3 linked regions of the Arabidopsis thaliana genome follow. The protein of the gene in region 1 interacts with the protein of each later gene in a pairwise test. Each region holds a gene or a part of one and is shown in the gene's direction. Other genes may lie near its edges.

Evidence for each region.
Region 2: the proteins of CLC-A (region 1) and CAT6 interact in a protein complementation assay, tested with the Arabidopsis thaliana proteins (one large-scale study listed by BioGRID).
Region 3: the proteins of CLC-A (region 1) and CNGC10 interact in a protein complementation assay, tested with the Arabidopsis thaliana proteins (one large-scale study listed by BioGRID).

What each region holds. Positions count from the first base shown.
Region 1 is NC_003076.8:16,380,772-16,387,135, reverse strand, and holds CLC-A (chloride channel A), read left to right. Parts: upstream 1-1,711; 5' UTR 1,712-2,136; coding exon 2,137-2,315; intron 2,316-2,631; exon of another isoform or gene 2,632-3,005; coding exon 3,006-3,206; intron 3,207-3,298; coding exon 3,299-3,476; intron 3,477-3,574; coding exon 3,575-4,107; intron 4,108-4,181; coding exon 4,182-5,313; intron 5,314-5,386; coding exon 5,387-5,491; 3' UTR 5,492-5,820; downstream 5,821-6,364. Other genes in the region: AT5G40880 (WD-40 repeat family protein / zfwd3 protein (ZFWD3)), read right to left, coding at 5,931-6,344. UniProt on the Arabidopsis thaliana protein: Voltage-gated chloride channel that could play a role in the regulation of nitrate content.
Region 2 is NC_003076.8:1,376,787-1,383,085, forward strand, and holds CAT6 (cationic amino acid transporter 6), read left to right. Parts: upstream 1-1,834; 5' UTR 1,835-2,331; coding exon 2,332-2,734; exon of another isoform or gene 2,735-2,850; coding exon 2,851-3,419; intron 3,420-3,531; coding exon 3,532-3,763; intron 3,764-4,484; coding exon of another isoform or gene 4,485-4,516; exon of another isoform or gene 4,517-4,970; coding exon 4,971-5,518; 3' UTR 5,519-5,692; downstream 5,693-6,299. UniProt on the Arabidopsis thaliana protein: Permease involved in the transport of the cationic neutral or acidic amino acids.
Region 3 is NC_003070.9:131,741-137,678, reverse strand, and holds CNGC10 (cyclic nucleotide gated channel 10), read left to right. Parts: upstream 1-1,754; 5' UTR 1,755-1,971; intron 1,972-2,356; exon of another isoform or gene 2,357-2,409; 5' UTR 2,410-2,462; coding exon 2,463-2,491; exon of another isoform or gene 2,492-2,560; coding exon of another isoform or gene 2,561-2,574; coding exon 2,575-3,097; intron 3,098-3,177; coding exon 3,178-3,390; intron 3,391-3,472; coding exon 3,473-3,768; intron 3,769-3,926; coding exon 3,927-4,038; intron 4,039-4,139; coding exon 4,140-4,376; intron 4,377-4,460; coding exon 4,461-4,855; intron 4,856-4,934; coding exon 4,935-5,265; 3' UTR 5,266-5,409; downstream 5,410-5,938. Other genes in the region: AT1G01350 (Zinc finger (CCCH-type/C3HC4-type RING finger) family protein), read right to left, coding at 1-744, 863-947. UniProt on the Arabidopsis thaliana protein: Probable cyclic nucleotide-gated ion channel.

The sequences.
Region 1 (6,364 bases):
AACTAAATTATACTTATTCAACAACAAAGTAGACTAAGTAGTACACAAAACATCGTATAATGTTAAAGATTAATTATATCTACGTTTATGTGGTCAAATATATTTCTCCAATTGGACGTTTCTAGGGTCCGGAATATATAAATCACGTGTTTGGAGAATAAATGATTAGAGATAAATACTCGTACAAGAGAAAATTTAAAAAGGGCTGTTCGATGACCTCAAGGGTCGGAATTCTTTTGATCGTTGGATCTTGGAATTATCGAACGAATGTGTAAGATTACACATGTTCATACTTATTGGTTACAAAGGTTTTTGCTGATCTGTCAGACCTAGTGGCTGAGTTGTCATTTGACACAAGTCACCAATTTAACAGAAGAGAGATATAGTCACTTGGCCAGTACGCAACCAAATGGGCAAATGGCTGATCAATGAAGAATCAAGAATGAATTATATGAATTAGAAGAAAAATAATTACAAAATCTTATTTAAATGTTGATATTTGATTTCTTCTTTCCATATTTTTAAAAGTTAAGTAAAAAGTTTGAATCGATATTTATATGAAAACGGATGAAATGATATATGAAAAAAGTACATGGGAGAATAAAAAAGATAGAAGCTACTTATTCAGGTAATGTGTGATGTATAATGAAAAATGAAGGAATTAAAAAGAAGATTATTATTGTGATCTACCATGTGTACACAAGCAACCGAAACAAATTTTGTTTATGTCCCCTAGTGCAAATTGTAGAGTATTCTATGAGTAATGTTTTTTATGGACAATGTTTGAATATCATTAGTTTTATACATGAAAACAGAAAAGATTTGTCAATGCCTTAGAGATCCACATGCAACCGTCTTTGTCGATCCAAAACGGAAAAGTATGGAGAGCGTTGGTCTGTGCAAGAAATTCATGAAAATATTTAAAATGTCTATTTTAAAATAATTATGTATTTGATAAATTAATAAATAACTAATTGTGATATTAATAGTTGTTAGGGACTATTACTTAGAGAAATTTGGGATATGGAGTAGTATTTTTGGACTTCCACATATGCATTTTTGACAGTACTTTTCAAGAAACCCTATTATGAAACCAAATTATACAAGTTGCACTATGCGCCCAAAGATTTTGGAACTATCGACGTAAAACATTTTATGTCTGCCACAAAAATTCTTAAAAGTTACCTTAATGTTTATGTAAATCATTTTTCTTTCCCTCTTCAACTTTACGTCAAAATCACATATTGATTTGTAATGAAAGAAATAAAAAAATTGAGTACAAATTAATAGCTAGATAATAGTCGATTTCTACACACACAAAAAGGGTTATATCCTTAGTGGATAAGAATTATTTCAATATAAAAAAATTCGTCGTTGTTCAACTACGTCAAAATCACAAACTAATTTCAAATTTATTTTGGGTATTAATATACATGAAAAACGAGTAAAACAAAAGTATGTATATAGCTAAAGACAAAGTAGATTTGTACACACAACAAAATGGACTAAAAATATTGATAAGAATAAATAAACTAATATAGGGTTTGTATACAGAATTATAACTTTCTTCCTTCTAACTTCAAAACCAACAATGGATTTCAAAACTATATACTGTATTCACTATTCAGATTGAAACATAGCTAGAGAATAGTAGATGCCTACACAAACACACATATCATGCCTTCATTTTAGGTTTTTTTTTTTTTTTTTTGATGACAACCTTTATTTTAGGTTATATTATTTAAGTAGGCAATATAATATAGACCAATGATTGTCTTATCTTTAGTGAGAATAGCATATGGTACCCATCCACCCACTGTGACTCCTCCTCACAACAAATAACATTTAAATTAAATGTTATGTTTGTATCACCATACATATAATGGTGTATATTGATGCATGCATGTATCATATGTAGAGAGAGATCTATAAAGCTTCATAAAAGTGTTTCTCTAGAAAAAACGACAAAATTCGCAGAGAAAATCCAAACCAAAAGTAGTTTTGTAACAGAGAGATAGATAGAAAGCTCTTGAAGATCTAACCAAAATCTACTTTTGTTCTTCTTCTTCTTCTTTTCATAAATTTTCGGAGTGGTCCTATTTATTGTTTCTTGGATCATTAGAGAGACAGCTATCGATGGATGAAGATGGAAACTTGCAGATTAGTAATAGTAATTACAATGGAGAAGAAGAAGGAGAAGATCCAGAGAACAACACTTTGAATCAACCACTGCTTAAGAGACATAGAACTCTTTCTTCAACTCCTCTTGCTTTGGTCGGTGCCAAGGTTTCACACATCGAGAGTTTAGATTATGAGTATGTCTTCTTTATCTTCTAGATCTTGATTATTTGATTCTTATTCTGTTTTCATATCGAATTTTACTTTTCTTGAATTGTTTTTTGGATGAGTCTTAATCTTGTTCTATAAAGAGTGACAAAAAAAAAACCTTATTCTATAAAGTTTTGAGCTTTACTCTGTTTCCAGATAAATCTTCACTTTCTGATGGTTTATTGAGTTTGTCATTATCTTTTTTTTTTGTAAAGTTTCAATCTTACTATTTTTTCAGCTAATTTTCATTTTAGAAAGAAATAAAATTGAATGGATTATTTGTCTCAATCTCTTTCTATAAATTTTTAAATCTTTATCCTGATTTTCAGAACATAAATTATGAAAATATTAGAGATAATTTTGACAAGAAGAATGAAAATATTAGTGATGGAGACATATGACCTGTTGTGATACTTCAATTATTTCTCACATTTTCAATTTGCCGCAAGCAATCATAAACCAAATCTTGTACAAGATCCAGATAATTAGGTTACCTTTTGTTTATTAGTTGTATGATAAGTCTTGGTCTCAAATCTCTTTCTATAACGTTTATTTATCTTTACTCTGTTTTCAGACAATCTTCATATATTTTTTTTTCTTAAACTTGGTGGAAAATAATCAGTGATGGAGACATATACTTGTATAGATTTTTGATTTGAGATTTTGGATTTCTGCAGAATAAACGAGAATGATCTGTTCAAGCATGACTGGAGAAGCAGATCAAAAGCACAAGTGTTTCAATACATATTCTTAAAATGGACATTAGCTTGTCTTGTTGGTCTCTTCACTGGTCTTATCGCTACTCTCATCAACCTTGCTGTCGAAAACATCGCCGGTTACAAACTTCTCGCCGTCGGCTACTACATTGCTCAAGATAGGTATTGACTCATCAGCCAAATCTTGAAAAACAAAACAGTCAAGATCAAGAAATTGAGATACCTTGTATGACAAGTTTATGTTTTTGAAATAGGTTTTGGACAGGTCTGATGGTCTTTACGGGGGCGAATTTGGGTCTGACTTTGGTGGCGACAGTACTTGTTGTTTACTTTGCTCCTACGGCGGCTGGTCCGGGGATCCCTGAGATTAAAGCTTACCTTAATGGCATTGACACTCCCAATATGTTTGGTTTTACCACCATGATGGTTAAGGTTTGTTTCTTAAACCTTCACAAAGTTTGAAGCTTCCCACAAAGTTAGTGTGAGATCTTTTGTTTTACTGATGGATTTTGCGGTTTTTTTCCGATTAGATTGTTGGAAGTATTGGAGCGGTTGCAGCTGGACTTGATCTTGGTAAAGAAGGGCCATTGGTTCATATTGGAAGTTGCATAGCTTCTTTGCTTGGTCAAGGTGGTCCAGATAATCACAGAATCAAATGGAGATGGCTTCGTTACTTCAACAACGATAGAGATCGAAGAGATCTTATTACATGTGGATCTGCCTCTGGAGTATGTGCTGCTTTCAGGTCACCAGTAGGAGGAGTACTTTTCGCTCTTGAGGAAGTCGCTACGTGGTGGAGAAGCGCTCTCTTGTGGAGAACATTCTTCAGTACAGCCGTTGTGGTGGTTGTATTAAGAGCGTTCATTGAGATTTGTAACTCCGGGAAATGCGGACTTTTCGGCTCAGGAGGACTCATTATGTTCGATGTGAGTCATGTAGAGGTTAGGTACCACGCAGCAGATATAATCCCAGTCACATTGATTGGAGTCTTTGGTGGCATTCTTGGAAGCTTGTACAATCATCTTCTGCATAAAGTTCTCCGGCTTTACAATCTCATCAACCAGTAAGTGTTTATGAACGTTCAAGAGTCTTAAAGATTTCTTTTTACTTAACATTGTTTGGTAAATTTTGGTGTAGGAAGGGAAAGATTCATAAGGTGCTTCTAAGTCTTGGGGTATCTCTATTCACATCAGTTTGCTTGTTCGGTCTTCCTTTCTTAGCGGAATGCAAGCCTTGTGATCCTTCTATAGACGAGATATGTCCAACAAACGGAAGATCAGGAAATTTCAAGCAATTCAACTGTCCAAATGGTTATTACAACGATCTATCCACTCTGCTTCTCACAACCAATGATGATGCAGTCAGAAACATTTTCTCTTCAAACACTCCTAATGAGTTTGGCATGGTTTCTCTCTGGATATTCTTTGGCCTCTACTGCATTTTGGGTCTTATAACATTCGGTATAGCGACACCGTCGGGTCTCTTCCTACCGATTATCCTCATGGGTTCTGCATACGGTAGGATGCTAGGCACAGCAATGGGGTCTTACACAAACATAGATCAAGGGCTTTACGCGGTTCTTGGTGCAGCTTCACTCATGGCTGGTTCAATGAGAATGACTGTTTCACTCTGTGTTATATTTCTGGAACTCACCAACAACCTTCTTTTGTTGCCCATTACAATGTTTGTGCTTCTGATAGCTAAAACAGTAGGTGACAGCTTCAATCTAAGTATCTACGAGATCATTCTCCATCTTAAGGGCTTACCTTTCTTGGAAGCAAATCCAGAGCCGTGGATGAGGAATCTCACTGTAGGTGAGCTTAACGACGCTAAGCCTCCGGTTGTAACACTTAACGGAGTAGAAAAAGTGGCAAATATAGTCGATGTACTAAGGAACACAACGCATAACGCATTCCCAGTCTTGGATGGAGCAGATCAAAACACTGGCACAGAGCTCCATGGTCTGATCCTAAGAGCTCACCTTGTGAAAGTTCTGAAAAAGAGATGGTTCTTGAATGAGAAAAGGAGAACAGAAGAGTGGGAAGTTAGGGAAAAGTTCACACCGGTTGAATTAGCTGAGAGAGAAGATAACTTCGATGATGTTGCAATCACAAGCTCAGAGATGCAATTGTATGTTGATCTTCATCCTTTGACCAACACTACACCTTACACAGTGGTGCAAAGTATGTCAGTGGCTAAAGCTTTGGTTCTGTTCCGGTCAGTGGGTCTCAGACATTTACTGGTGGTTCCCAAGATTCAAGCTTCAGGGGTAAGTTTGCTTTTTTACTCTCTTGATTCAAGATTCAAGAACACTACTAAACGTGTGTCTTGTGTTGTTGCAGATGTCACCTGTGATAGGGATCTTAACAAGGCAAGATCTCAGGGCTTATAACATTCTACAAGCATTTCCTCACTTGGATAAACACAAAAGTGGAAAAGCTAGATGAATAAGCCAAAATGCAAAGAGCGTTCACTATTATTTGGTTTGTGTGATTCGTGTGTCTTTCCACATTCTTAGTTGATATATATTCTGTCCAGTTTTGCTTGCATTCTTCCTTCAAGACCAAAAACAAATTATACCATTTGGTAGATTTGTGTTTTCTACTTGTAAATCTCCTTTTTTTTCCCCACGTTTTCAGTTTCAAAAGAAGAAGAATAAGAAATTTGAATACAGAACAAAACTTTGAAGCTTCCATGGAGTTCACAAATCTTTTAAGGAATTGTGTTAAATAAACATCTTTCTATGAGAGAACGGATATGAAAATATTACTTTCTTTTATCTTGGCAACATTAAAAGTTATTACATTAATGCAAGGATTTAGAATCAACCACCAATGTATATGTACAAATTAAATGAAAATCAATAGTCGAAAATTGTTAAAACGACTAAACTTTGGTGCCAGAAGCTAAGCTCCATACACGCAAGTTCCCACTCTTGTCTCCACTGAATAACAATCCTCCAGGACCAATTGTAAGTGTGCAGATCGTCTGCGTAGAGAACATCTTTCCTCTTTCTTCAAAAGATGGTAGGTCGAAAATGCCAACTGCTCCATTTTGGTAAGAGCAAAACATGATCGGTTTGGCCTCTGCATCGTGCATTCCACAGAGAGTATGAACACTCAGTTCTTGTTTGCGAGTTTGAACAACTTTCAAACTTTCATTTTCAGAACAAGCCCAAAGTTTTATGGTCCCATCCAAGGAAGACGATATCAGACACTTGTCCCAACATAAGAGTGAAGTGACAGTGCCGATATGTTGCTTCAGGGTCATTCTACATTGCAAGGTGTTGAGATCCCACACCTAGAACCACAGCAAACAGA
Region 2 (6,299 bases), about 15 Mb from region 1:
AAACAGAGATGGGCAGGTCTGGCACAGGGCGTGTGAGACGTGGTCGGATTGAGGCAACCTGAATTTTGCATCTTATCTAAAATTCAGATTTGACCATCCCACTCACTGTATAAACCACTCCACATTATCTTTTTTATTTATTTCATTATTACTCTTTTGTGTACCCAAAAATGTGAGACTTATTGGTGACCATACAAGTCATAATTTATTCTTGTCGAAATTAATTTATATATAAATGTATGCGTATGTGTGTTGTAGATACGAATATGTGTCAACGTTGCTGACACTAATCTAATTATCATTATTGTGAACAAAGAGAGGCTTAAGAGTGTTCGATTGAAGTAGATATTTAATACTATTTGTTTGGATAAGGTAGTGTTAATTCAATGCAGTGCGCGGCCAACCAAAAAATAAAAAGATCAATTGCAACGTGTATCCAGTTACGGGTATGATTGGGAGCGATAGAACTTTTACATAAACATACACAAATCATTCTACAACACTTTTTAATCAAGTTTCATAGATGGTTAGATGAGTTCTATTCGAATTAACCTTATAGTGAGTTTTGGTGTGGTAAAAATAGTGTTGATTTTGGATTACATATACACATGCGGTTAGTTGGTGGTGTTGGTGATTTTGGATTTTGGATTTCAGTGAACAGCATCAAAGGCTCCGAGTTCGACCCATGAAAATAAAATCAGTCAATCCATTGCTTCTTCTTCATCTTAAAGCGTCGAGTCTAATGCCGATTTCTCTATGGAGAATACTCATCAGGATCATGATACAACCTGCAAACATGTTGCGTTGCCCTTATCACAGAGAACAGATCACTCATCTTTTTTTTCAAGAACTCACTCATGCATATTACCACTCACACATACTATCAAATAACACGGCACTAACACTAAAACAAATTACTAAGTTACAAACTGTACCAACACAAGATTTGCGGTTATTTATTCCTCTAAGTACCAAACTATTCGTGTCCTCGTTTTAAAACATTTAAATGCAGAGACAAAATCAGTTGAAGAAGACCTTAATTAGCTGCAAATATGCGATAATATTTTCCTAGTAATGCCAAGTTGCCAACTATAAAAAATGAGAAGATTGTCGAAAAGAACCAACTAATTACAAAAACTCATTTCCTCAAATTCTGGTCACGCTTCGCTTTAAACCTGTGTGCTTATCCATTGAAAACAAAACAACATCCCACGTGTCACCTTCTTTGCCACACGTGTGAATCTTAAACCACACATAGCCGTTAGAGGTAACGTCGTTACCGTGTCTTATGATATACGGAAGTTAACGCCGTTTGTTTAGTTTTTTCTTTTTAACGTCCGTGACGGTTTCATAACCTCGGGAACTAAGTAAGGAAGAGCTTTTGAAGCAGAGAGTCGTTACGTTTCAAACAACCGATCATAGTCATAGACACAATTATGGTATTAATTTCATTAATTAGTACTAATTCCCTATCAATTACAAGGAACGCAATTACAAAATTTTGTCTATAATAACATCAATTTTAGACCCTCATTTCAAGGAAAAATGTGGGAATGATTCTCCAATGACATATTTATGATTAAAAAGTTCATTTCTCAGGTTCGAAATATTTTGACCATTTTGAAATATACTAATAATGTTGTTTAAAAACATATCTTATTAGAATGTTTATATGGTGTTATAGTGTTGAGATATTTTTTTTAAATATAAATAATTGAGTACAAATCTATAAATTTAAACAATAAAGAGTGTTATTAACAATTAATGATAAGTAGTAAAAAAAAAAGAATATTCTTCAATAAAAACCGTAATTCATTTTTTTCCTATTTTTTAAAAAACAAAACAAAATAAGATAACCATAGGAAATGCCACTCTGTTACAACTCAGCAGTCTAATGATATTTAATAAAATACCAATTTTAGTGGTTTATGGTCAACAAAAATAGTTTACAAGCTTAGCTAGATGTGAATACATACTATATACTACCAAACTAGTTTATGATTTGTATATGAATCAATAAAAGCGTTAGCATAATTAGTATATATAAATGTAACTGTAATTGGACCAAAGAGATAAAGCATCTTGGGTTTAGTAAGCTTTTGAGCTGATGATGCTTATGTGATTAATGTGAATATAAGAATTAGGGAACAATCTTGTTGTTAATAACAATACTTATAACATTTAAATGCCCTTAAGTATCGTCATAATTACATCTTTGTCCCTATCCTTCTCTTTTTCACTTTTCCTAATCTCTAATATAAAACCAACTCTTGTCAAATTCAACAAAATTCTCACACAAACCGACCCGACCCGAATCTGGCCGGTGAGAAAATGGAGGTCCAAAGCAGCAGCAACAATGGTGGTCACTCTTCTTTCTCCAGTCTCCGCGTCTACCTCAACTCTCTTTCCGCGACGCCTTCTCGCTTATCCCGCCGCGCTATTTCCGTCTCCACCTCTTCCGACGAGATGAGTCGCGTCCGCGCCGTCTCCGGCGAACAGATGCGCCGTACTCTCCGGTGGTACGATCTCATTGGACTCGGAATCGGGGGAATGGTCGGCGCCGGTGTCTTTGTCACCACCGGCCGTGCTAGTCGTCTCGACGCCGGTCCTTCAATTGTCGTCTCTTACGCCATCGCCGGGCTCTGCGCTCTCCTCTCCGCTTTCTGTTACACCGAATTCGCCGTCCATCTCCCGGTCGCCGGCGGTGCCTTCAGCTACATCCGTATCACATTCGGTTAGTCTCCCGCGAAAATCATCACTACTCCTCCGATCTGTTCACGGTTTTCTGAAAATTTTAATTTCAAAATCAAAAACCGTAACTGATTTCTTTTCTGTTACATTTCCGTTCAGGTGAATTTCCAGCATTTTTCACCGGAGCAAATCTTGTAATGGATTACGTAATGTCAAACGCGGCCGTTTCGAGAAGCTTCACCGCTTATTTAGGAACAGCTTTCGGGATCTCAACTTCCAAGTGGCGATTCGTCGTCTCCGGTTTACCGAAAGGATTCAACGAGATTGATCCAGTCGCAGTTCTCGTCGTCCTCGTAATCACAGTCATCATCTGTTGCAGTACAAGAGAGAGTTCCAAAGTGAACATGATAATGACTGCATTTCACATCGCATTCATATTCTTCGTGATCGTGATGGGATTCATAAAAGGAGATTCAAAGAATCTATCCTCACCGGCGAATCCAGAGCACCCCTCGGGATTTTTTCCGTTCGGCGCGGCGGGAGTTTTCAACGGAGCTGCCATGGTTTACTTAAGCTACATAGGATACGACGCCGTTTCAACCATGGCGGAAGAAGTTGAAAATCCGGTCAAAGATATCCCCGTCGGTGTTTCCGGCTCCGTCGCAATCGTCACCGTTCTTTACTGTCTCATGGCAGTCTCTATGTCAATGCTTCTGCCATACGATCTGGTCCGTACTTCAAATTTATTATTTTCTTATTGTATATTTCCGTTTTCATAAAGACGGCACGTAGTCTGAGTCTAAAGCTGAAAACGGCGGGGCATGTGTTGTTGTAACGCAGATAGATCCGGAGGCGCCGTTTTCCGCGGCGTTCAGAGGATCGAACGGCTGGGAATGGGTGACGAAAGTGGTGGGGATAGGAGCAAGCTTTGGGATATTAACATCACTTTTGGTGGCAATGTTAGGTCAGGCTCGCTACATGTGTGTCATCGGACGGTCCAGAGTGGTCCCCTTTTGGTTCGCTAAGATTCATCCCAAAACATCTACGCCAGTCAACGCCTCCACTTTTCTTGGTACGTTTCTTTGTCTTCATTCATTCATCAAAAAAACATTTATTTAATTACTGTCAAACAAACAATGATGAAATATAATCAAATCATATATAGTTAAAAATAAATTTTGGTCCAGAAAGTGAGATAGAGGAGTAGTAGTTAGGTTAAAAGGGGACCCCAATGAGAACCGTTTCGGTTGTTTCCATGATCTTTTTATTGATTTGAACTTTTAACGTTTTCTCTAAATCATACGATCCACGTGATTTCATTATATATACGTGTCCATTTCAATATATTTTAAAGATCAAAAGCTTTTGGACGTTACCATTTTAAAAATCTTCTGCTATCGATTTCGATCGTGACAAGGGCTATGTACGTTGTGTAAGTATATCTCAATGTAGGGACATGGTTCAATGTGATTTGTATCATTGTATGGTGTTTAAGACAAGAGTCACAGAGAGAGCATCTGAGTCCGATTGCTAGATGTCGTTGTTCACCACTGGTTTTCTTTTCTGCTCTGTGAAAAGTTTCGTGTTTTTTGATTGTTCAAAGATTCAATCTTTTCAACGGTCTTGATTGTGATGGATTTGGTGGGTCTCTTTGGTTCTTTTTGTGTCTCCTTAGTGTTAAAAATACATATTCCACTTTTTTTTAAATAAAAATACGATAGTTGGATTATTAGTCATCCATTGGACGACTAGTAGTTAATCAATCATTTTTTTATTTCATTTTTTTTGTGAAGATACTACTAAGCCTAGTCGGCTGATATTTTGACAACTCCAACTTTTCGTAATTTCCGGAACATCTGGCTGAGCTATGCAACTCGTGAGTTGTTAGGTACCAGGATTTAGAATAATGACCATCTTTGATAAAATACATAGAAGATTGGAAAACATATACTAACGTTTAGAGCCATATTTATATGCATAATCTTTGTAACAAGCATTGTTTTCCTCATTAAGTTACTCTCATGCCTTTGTCACAAAATGGATCATTATAAAGGGGGTCATCATCGTTCAACCTTATCCTTGCTAATTTTAGCACCCACTAACTCACATTTGCTATATCCATCAATAGCATTGACAAAAAGACAAAATAAAGGAACAAATCCTCCCACTACCATTCATTTCAAATTTGGACTTTTTTCACTAGTCGAATCATCTACAGTTATAGAGAATATGACCATTGACCAATCTTATTAACGTTCGTATATTTTATCCCTTATCAGGCATTTTCACGGCGGCTCTTGCGCTTTTCACCGACCTAAACGTCCTCCTAAACCTCGTATCCATTGGAACACTATTTGTCTTCTACATGGTCGCAAACGCTCTCATCTTCAGACGTTACGTCCCGGTTGGACCCACCAAGCCGTGGCCCACACTCTGCTTCCTCACACTATTCTCCATAACCTCTCTCGTCTTCACCCTCATCTGGAAACTTGTGCCGGAAGGTAAGCCTAAAGCTTTCATGCTCGGTGCCAGTGCGGTGGTGGCTATAGCCATCGTGCTGAGCTTTCAGTGCGTGGTTCCCCAGGCTAGGAAACCTGAGTTGTGGGGAGTCCCGTTCATGCCGTGGACCCCGTGCGTGTCGATATTCTTGAACATTTTTTTGCTTGGTTCGTTGGACGCACCCTCTTACGTCCGGTTTGGATTCTTCTCCGGTTTGATCGTGCTCGTGTATTTGTTTTATGGCGTTCATGCGAGTTCTGATGCTGAAGCGAATGGATCTTTTGGTGTGAAAGATGGACAAGTCATGAAAGAGCTAATTGAAGTGTGAAAAGTATTTATTTAGTTTAGTTTTCTAAAGCATCATGAACCAAAATGTAATTAAACTCTCTAATTTTTTTTCTACATGAGGGGGTTTGAAATATTAATGAGAAAATATTAAATACAACTTTAGGAAAAAAAAGAATATGTATTTTGGTTTAACGAACGACCAAAATGAAATCGGTCATATGCAAGTCAATCTGTTGAGAGAATAGAGAAACTGATGATATTTTTGTTTTACCGTTGTGTACAATTCACAACACACAATATTTTTAAATACAGTACAAACTATTAGGTTACAAGTTTTTGAGATTGAAAGATCAAATCTTTGTCAAACCTATAAGGCAAGATCACGTATGAAATATACATGTGATAGATAACATTAATAAATGGAAACGTTAGATAGACATAGGTCTCTCATAAATACGAGATGGCGTACAATTGAAAACGATGGGTCCCCATCTTTCTCACGGGACACACATACGTGACATTATCCGCAACTTCATATATATCCAACAAGATCACCTTTTCTTTTTCATTTTTTTGTTCACAATCACTTGTTTCAAATTCCTTGAGGATATTTATACATTCTTTTATTATTTGCATTTATATATTCTATATATCAATAGTACTATTGAACTTTCGTAAACAAAGAACCATGCACAAAAAGTTTCAGTTTATTAAAGATGTCTTCATTTTTCTACTTTTATTTCTTATCAAGTATGATTTAGTTTATCTTATTGATTTCATAAAGATGAATGTCTAAGGTAGGATCGAATATGTGATCTCAA
Region 3 (5,938 bases), on another chromosome or scaffold:
AAGCAAAGGGCAATGCATTTTCGTCTTCGTCGCTATCCTTGTCAGCCTCATCATCTTCATCCTCAACTCCCATAGCTTTATTTCTCTTCCTAACTTTCTCTGCTTCTTCCCACTCTTTCTCTATCTGCCATCCTGGTTTGTAATCCCCACGGTCATGCAAGAACTTACACGAATCTCCATATCCACAGTATCCGGTTTCTTTGTAATCCTTGCAAATGTCTGGCTGGTAATCGAATCTAGCCGACACTCTTATGTGAGCAGAAGCTCTTAATGGCCCGTGTGAGCCTCCAGCTTTCTCGCTCGAGATTGTTTGTTCTCTTCTAAACCCAGCTTTGTGATCTGTATATCCATGAATTCCTTTGTACAGCTTCTCATCAGAAGCCTTTTTCTTATTCCCTTTCAATGCTTCGTCTGCTTTTTTAAGAACTCTCTCACGGATAGCTCGTGCGTCTTGATTGAAGTCGGTCTCAGTTTCAAGGGTTGCTGTTGCTCCACTGTCGTTCTGAACCTGGATTTCCTTGGATGAATCGTAGTGAAAGACGGACCTCTCAGGAGCTCCACTCGTTGTAGTAGAACTCTTAGATGGTCCAGAAGAAAAGTATAACTTGCTATCGGGTTTTGCAACTTTCTTTAGATTTTGTAGAATAGAGCTTTCGCTTTTCGAATCTCCGTCTTCTTCATCAGCGTCAATGGTTCTTTTTCTTATGTTTTTACTTTTCGTTGGCTTCTTGAAGAAAGTGCAAACTGAAACAGAAGAATGATTTGATTAGTGTAAATGAAAATTTCTAGCTAACAACGAAGAACAAGAAAAAATCTCAATGAGACGACAACTAGAATTGAGATAGAAGGAAGTATATGTAACCTTGTTGAGACTGAGTTTCTTGGGCAGCAGGTTGAGGTAGAGGTTCTTCTTGCTGAGAAGGTTTAGGCTCACCAGAATCTGACATAGTTAGATATAAGACTATGTAACAAACACAAATCACCCACTTGTAATTTGCTGCTTAGTGTTTCCCTGCAAAATTCAAGATTAGTATTAAGTCAATTTCCTGAAAACTTGTAAATTTGTTTGCACTGAGTCAAACAACAATTTTATCAAAATTTCTCCAGATTCAGTTACAATAATAGACAATGCAACATAAAAATGATCACCTGAATTCTTCCTAATTCATCTACGCGAGCTCACGAATAAACCCTAGCTAACTATCTATATCGGTGGCAATTTCATTCACAGTAGATAAGGAAGCAGAAATAGAAGCTCCAGACAGATCAATCCGAAACACAGTTCGACAACTCGATGTGTCAACGGAAGCTACAAAATTTGGAATCTAAAAACCCTTTGAATTGATTGAAATTGGAGACAAAAGCTCGAACAACACTAAAGACTAAACAAGAACGAAAAGTAGATCAAAAGTATGGAGATTAAACACAAGGAAGAATATGTTACCTTAAAAAAAAATCTAAAAATCGACGCCGGTGAGCTACACCGTCAAAAAGAACGACGACGCCGTCCGTATTTTCCGACAGAAAATAAATCAGTGTGAAGAGAAAAGAAATAAGGAACATATGGTGGGGCGGTTACTTCATTTTGGGTCATGAATCTAAATGGGCTCAATATTCATAATGGGCCCGGTACTTAAAATTTGGCAACTTGCTTATTCTCGCCGTCTGACTTTGACCAAGTCATTCATCTGAATGAAATTGTTTTATGAAATGATTTTCAATTGAACAGACTTTATAATATTTAATTGCATAATATTCCTCTTTCCCTCCCTTTTTGTCGTATAATAAAATTCTCATATACTACTTTTCCAGGAAACAATATACAGAGAGAGATACAAGTAACCGCCATATGAGTCTCTCTCTCTTTCCAGCGACGACGGGACCAGTTGCTTGAATTGAAGAAAACGCCGTTCACCGACTTCCGTTTATTAGCCGAATCTTACTATCTCGCCGTTACCTACTTCGTTTCAGGTTAGTTTGATGATAGAATTTTGATTCCGATTTCCGTTTTTGTTCTTTTTCGTCTGAATTTATTTTGCTGTTTCTCAGAACCGAAACGCTTAGATATATGTCTTTCGTTTATGGTCAATGGTTTTTTGAAATTTGGATTTCTTATCTTTGATGAACAGTGTTTTTAAGTTGTTCGTGTGGTTTCCATTTATTGAGCAGGAATGGGTAGGAATTACAGGATTTGGTATAATCTAATGTTAGGTGGAAATTGACTGATTCTAGGTTCTCTAATTAACCTTTTCAAGAAAGAAATATTTAAAAACACATACACACAACACAATTGTATTTGTAGTTAGGTGTCTACTTGCTTATTTTTAATTGGTATTGGGGATTATCATTGTACGTAATCATGTAGAAGAATTCGTATGTCTTAAGTTTTGGTTCTTATTATAATGTTAGGACTCGTCACCCTGTAAGCGAAAGATCAGTTGAAATATACAAGGGTTTGGCTGATGGCATTTAGCCATGATAATCGTGTAAGGTTGGTAGTTACAGAAAATCTTGAAAACAGTTCATAGTTGAATGATTTTTTCTACTATCTCATTTTCTTATGATTTTGTTTAGGTTCAAAGATGAAGGCAAACCATTATCCTCTGAATATGGTTATGGAAGAAAAGCTAGACCTTCTTTAGATAGAGTTTTCAAGAATGTAAAATGGGGATTCAAGAAGCCATTGAGTTTCCCTTCACATAAGGATCCTGACCACAAGGAAACATCTAGTGTTACTCGGAAGAACATCATAAACCCGCAGGATTCGTTTCTCCAGAACTGGAACAAAATATTTTTATTTGCTTGTGTGGTTGCTTTGGCGATTGATCCATTGTTTTTCTACATTCCCATTGTCGATAGCGCAAGGCACTGTCTTACTTTGGACTCAAAGTTGGAGATAGCTGCGAGTTTGCTTCGTACGCTCATCGATGCCTTTTACATTATTCACATTGTGTTTCAGTTCAGGACAGCTTACATCGCTCCTTCTTCGCGGGTTTTTGGAAGAGGTGAACTGGTAGATGATGCTAAGGCAATAGCCTTAAAGTATCTCTCTTCTTACTTCATCATTGATCTACTCTCTATCCTTCCTCTCCCACAGGTAAATGACTAGTTTGATTACTTGTTCAAAATGTCAATGATCATTTCTTTTTGAATCCTCTGGCTTCTTAACTTTTGCAGATAGTAGTTTTAGCCGTTATTCCAAGCGTCAACCAGCCAGTCTCTTTGCTAACAAAAGACTACCTTAAATTTTCCATAATTGCTCAATATGTTCCTCGGATTCTCCGTATGTATCCGCTTTACACTGAAGTGACAAGAACATCTGGCATTGTTACTGAAACAGCATGGGCTGGAGCTGCTTGGAACCTCTCTCTCTATATGTTAGCCAGTCATGTGAGTTTCGGATCTTTTGATGACTGAATCTTTATACATGTAAATGCATATTAAAGGTTATATGTTAAACTTACTTATTCAGGTGTTTGGAGCTTTATGGTACTTAATCTCAGTAGAACGAGAAGACAGATGCTGGCAAGAGGCATGCGAGAAGACAAAAGGTTGTAATATGAAATTCCTCTACTGTGAAAACGATCGTAACGTTAGCAACAATTTCCTGACCACTTCTTGCCCATTTCTCGACCCTGGTGATATAACAAACTCAACCATCTTCAACTTTGGCATCTTCACTGATGCTCTTAAGAGTGGCGTTGTTGAATCACATGATTTCTGGAAGAAATTCTTCTACTGCTTCTGGTGGGGTCTTCGAAATCTGAGGTTTGTAAGACACACATAAAACTGTTGACAATAACTAACTAGCTATATTTGGAGATTTTAAGCCGTGAAATGACCTGTTTATATTTGCATCTTAAGCATATATATCTGTCACAATTTAAACAAGTCATCATTCTCACAAGTTGCTTTTGTTGTTGCAGTGCATTGGGACAGAATCTCCAAACTAGCAAATTCGTTGGTGAAATCATATTTGCTATATCAATCTGCATATCTGGACTAGTCTTATTTGCTCTACTTATCGGCAATATGCAGGTATTAGCCTCAAATAATCGCTTCTCATTTTCTGGACTTGTTCCATAATGCTACATATAAGTTACTCAGGACACGCATGTAATTTTTGTTTGCTGTTGCAGAAATATTTGGAGTCAACAACAGTTCGAGAAGAGGAAATGAGGGTGAGAAAGAGAGATGCAGAGCAGTGGATGTCTCATAGAATGTTACCTGAAGACCTGAGGAAACGTATCAGAAGATATGAACAATATAGATGGCAAGAGACAAGAGGAGTTGAAGAAGAAACCCTTCTTCGTAACCTCCCTAAAGACCTCAGAAGAGATATTAAACGCCATCTTTGCCTCGATCTCCTCAAGAAAGTGAGTAACAAGCTTTCTCTCTTTTTCTTCCATAAACTGAACTAAAGAACCCTCAGAATCCAAATTATATGATGTTTATGGTAGGTACCTTTGTTTGAGATAATGGATGAGCAGTTACTTGACGCGGTTTGCGATAGGCTAAGACCTGTGCTCTACACCGAGAACAGTTACGTGATCCGTGAAGGAGATCCTGTTGGGGAAATGTTGTTTGTTATGAGAGGAAGACTGGTAAGTGCCACCACTAATGGAGGAAGAAGTGGGTTCTTCAATGCCGTGAACCTAAAGGCAAGTGATTTCTGCGGAGAAGATCTTCTCCCGTGGGCATTAGATCCTCAATCTTCTTCTCACTTTCCCATCTCGACAAGAACAGTTCAAGCTCTCACTGAAGTCGAAGCCTTTGCTCTCACAGCTGAGGATCTCAAGTCTGTCGCTTCACAATTCAGACGCCTCCATAGCAAGCAACTCCAACATACTTTTCGGTTCGGTCACTCCCATCAGCTTCTTTGGCTCTGTTTTCGGTTTTGGATCTTCTTAACCGGATCTTGATTATATATACAGGTTTTACTCAGTGCAATGGAGAACATGGAGCGTGTCTTTTATACAAGCAGCGTGGAGGAGATACTGTCGGAGGAAGTTAGCCAAGTCACTACGCGATGAAGAAGATCGTCTCCGAGAAGCGCTCGCTAGTCAAGATAAAGAACACAATGCTGCAACCGTGTCGTCGTCCTTGAGCCTTGGAGGCGCTCTTTACGCGTCGCGTTTCGCATCAAACGCGCTTCACAATCTGAGGCACAATATCTCCAACCTTCCTCCTCGCTACACTCTTCCTTTGCTACCTCAAAAACCCACCGAGCCTGACTTCACCGCCAATCATACAACTGACCCTTAGATCTCTCTTGCATGTGTATAGTGTGTGGAATAAAGTGTAAAAACAATGGTTTGAACTTTGAACCAATAAAATGTAAAAAATTGTTTATCAACTAACAGAAATTGAAATAATGGCTGGCTCTTATGCGCCGCTTAACTTTGGCTACTTCAGTTCAGCATCACACATGGAGGTATAGTTAGAGACTCGATCTGATGATCAATGCATTGAGGAAAGTGGGAAAAGCATATTTAGCTTTCAAGCTAATGCATAGCAAAACTGGGGTTGGTTATGAGAGAATGGCTAGTGTTAGAAGGTCTGTCAGGTTTAGGACTTTACTTAAACTTGTTTTGACTCCCGAGTTTAAAGAAACTTTTTTGCGTTTATGTCTTTTCTTGAAGAAGGAAACAATCGAAAGTTTCCTTTTTATTTTGGAAGAACCTAATAATGAAAACCTGAGGGAGAATGCTAATCTCCAACAACATCTCACTCATTCTCTCTTCTTCCTTGAGAAATCAAAGCAAACCAACCAATGTTTCCTTTTGGTTTTGTTCGGTATAATATCAACGTCTCTTTCGTATGTCGGTTTTCAGTGTTTCCTTTTTTTAAGTCCCGCTCCTGTATAAAGCAGACCAACATATTGAGCTTGCGTTTATATATACTACAAGTAACCCTAGAGTACTTTCATCTCTTTTTT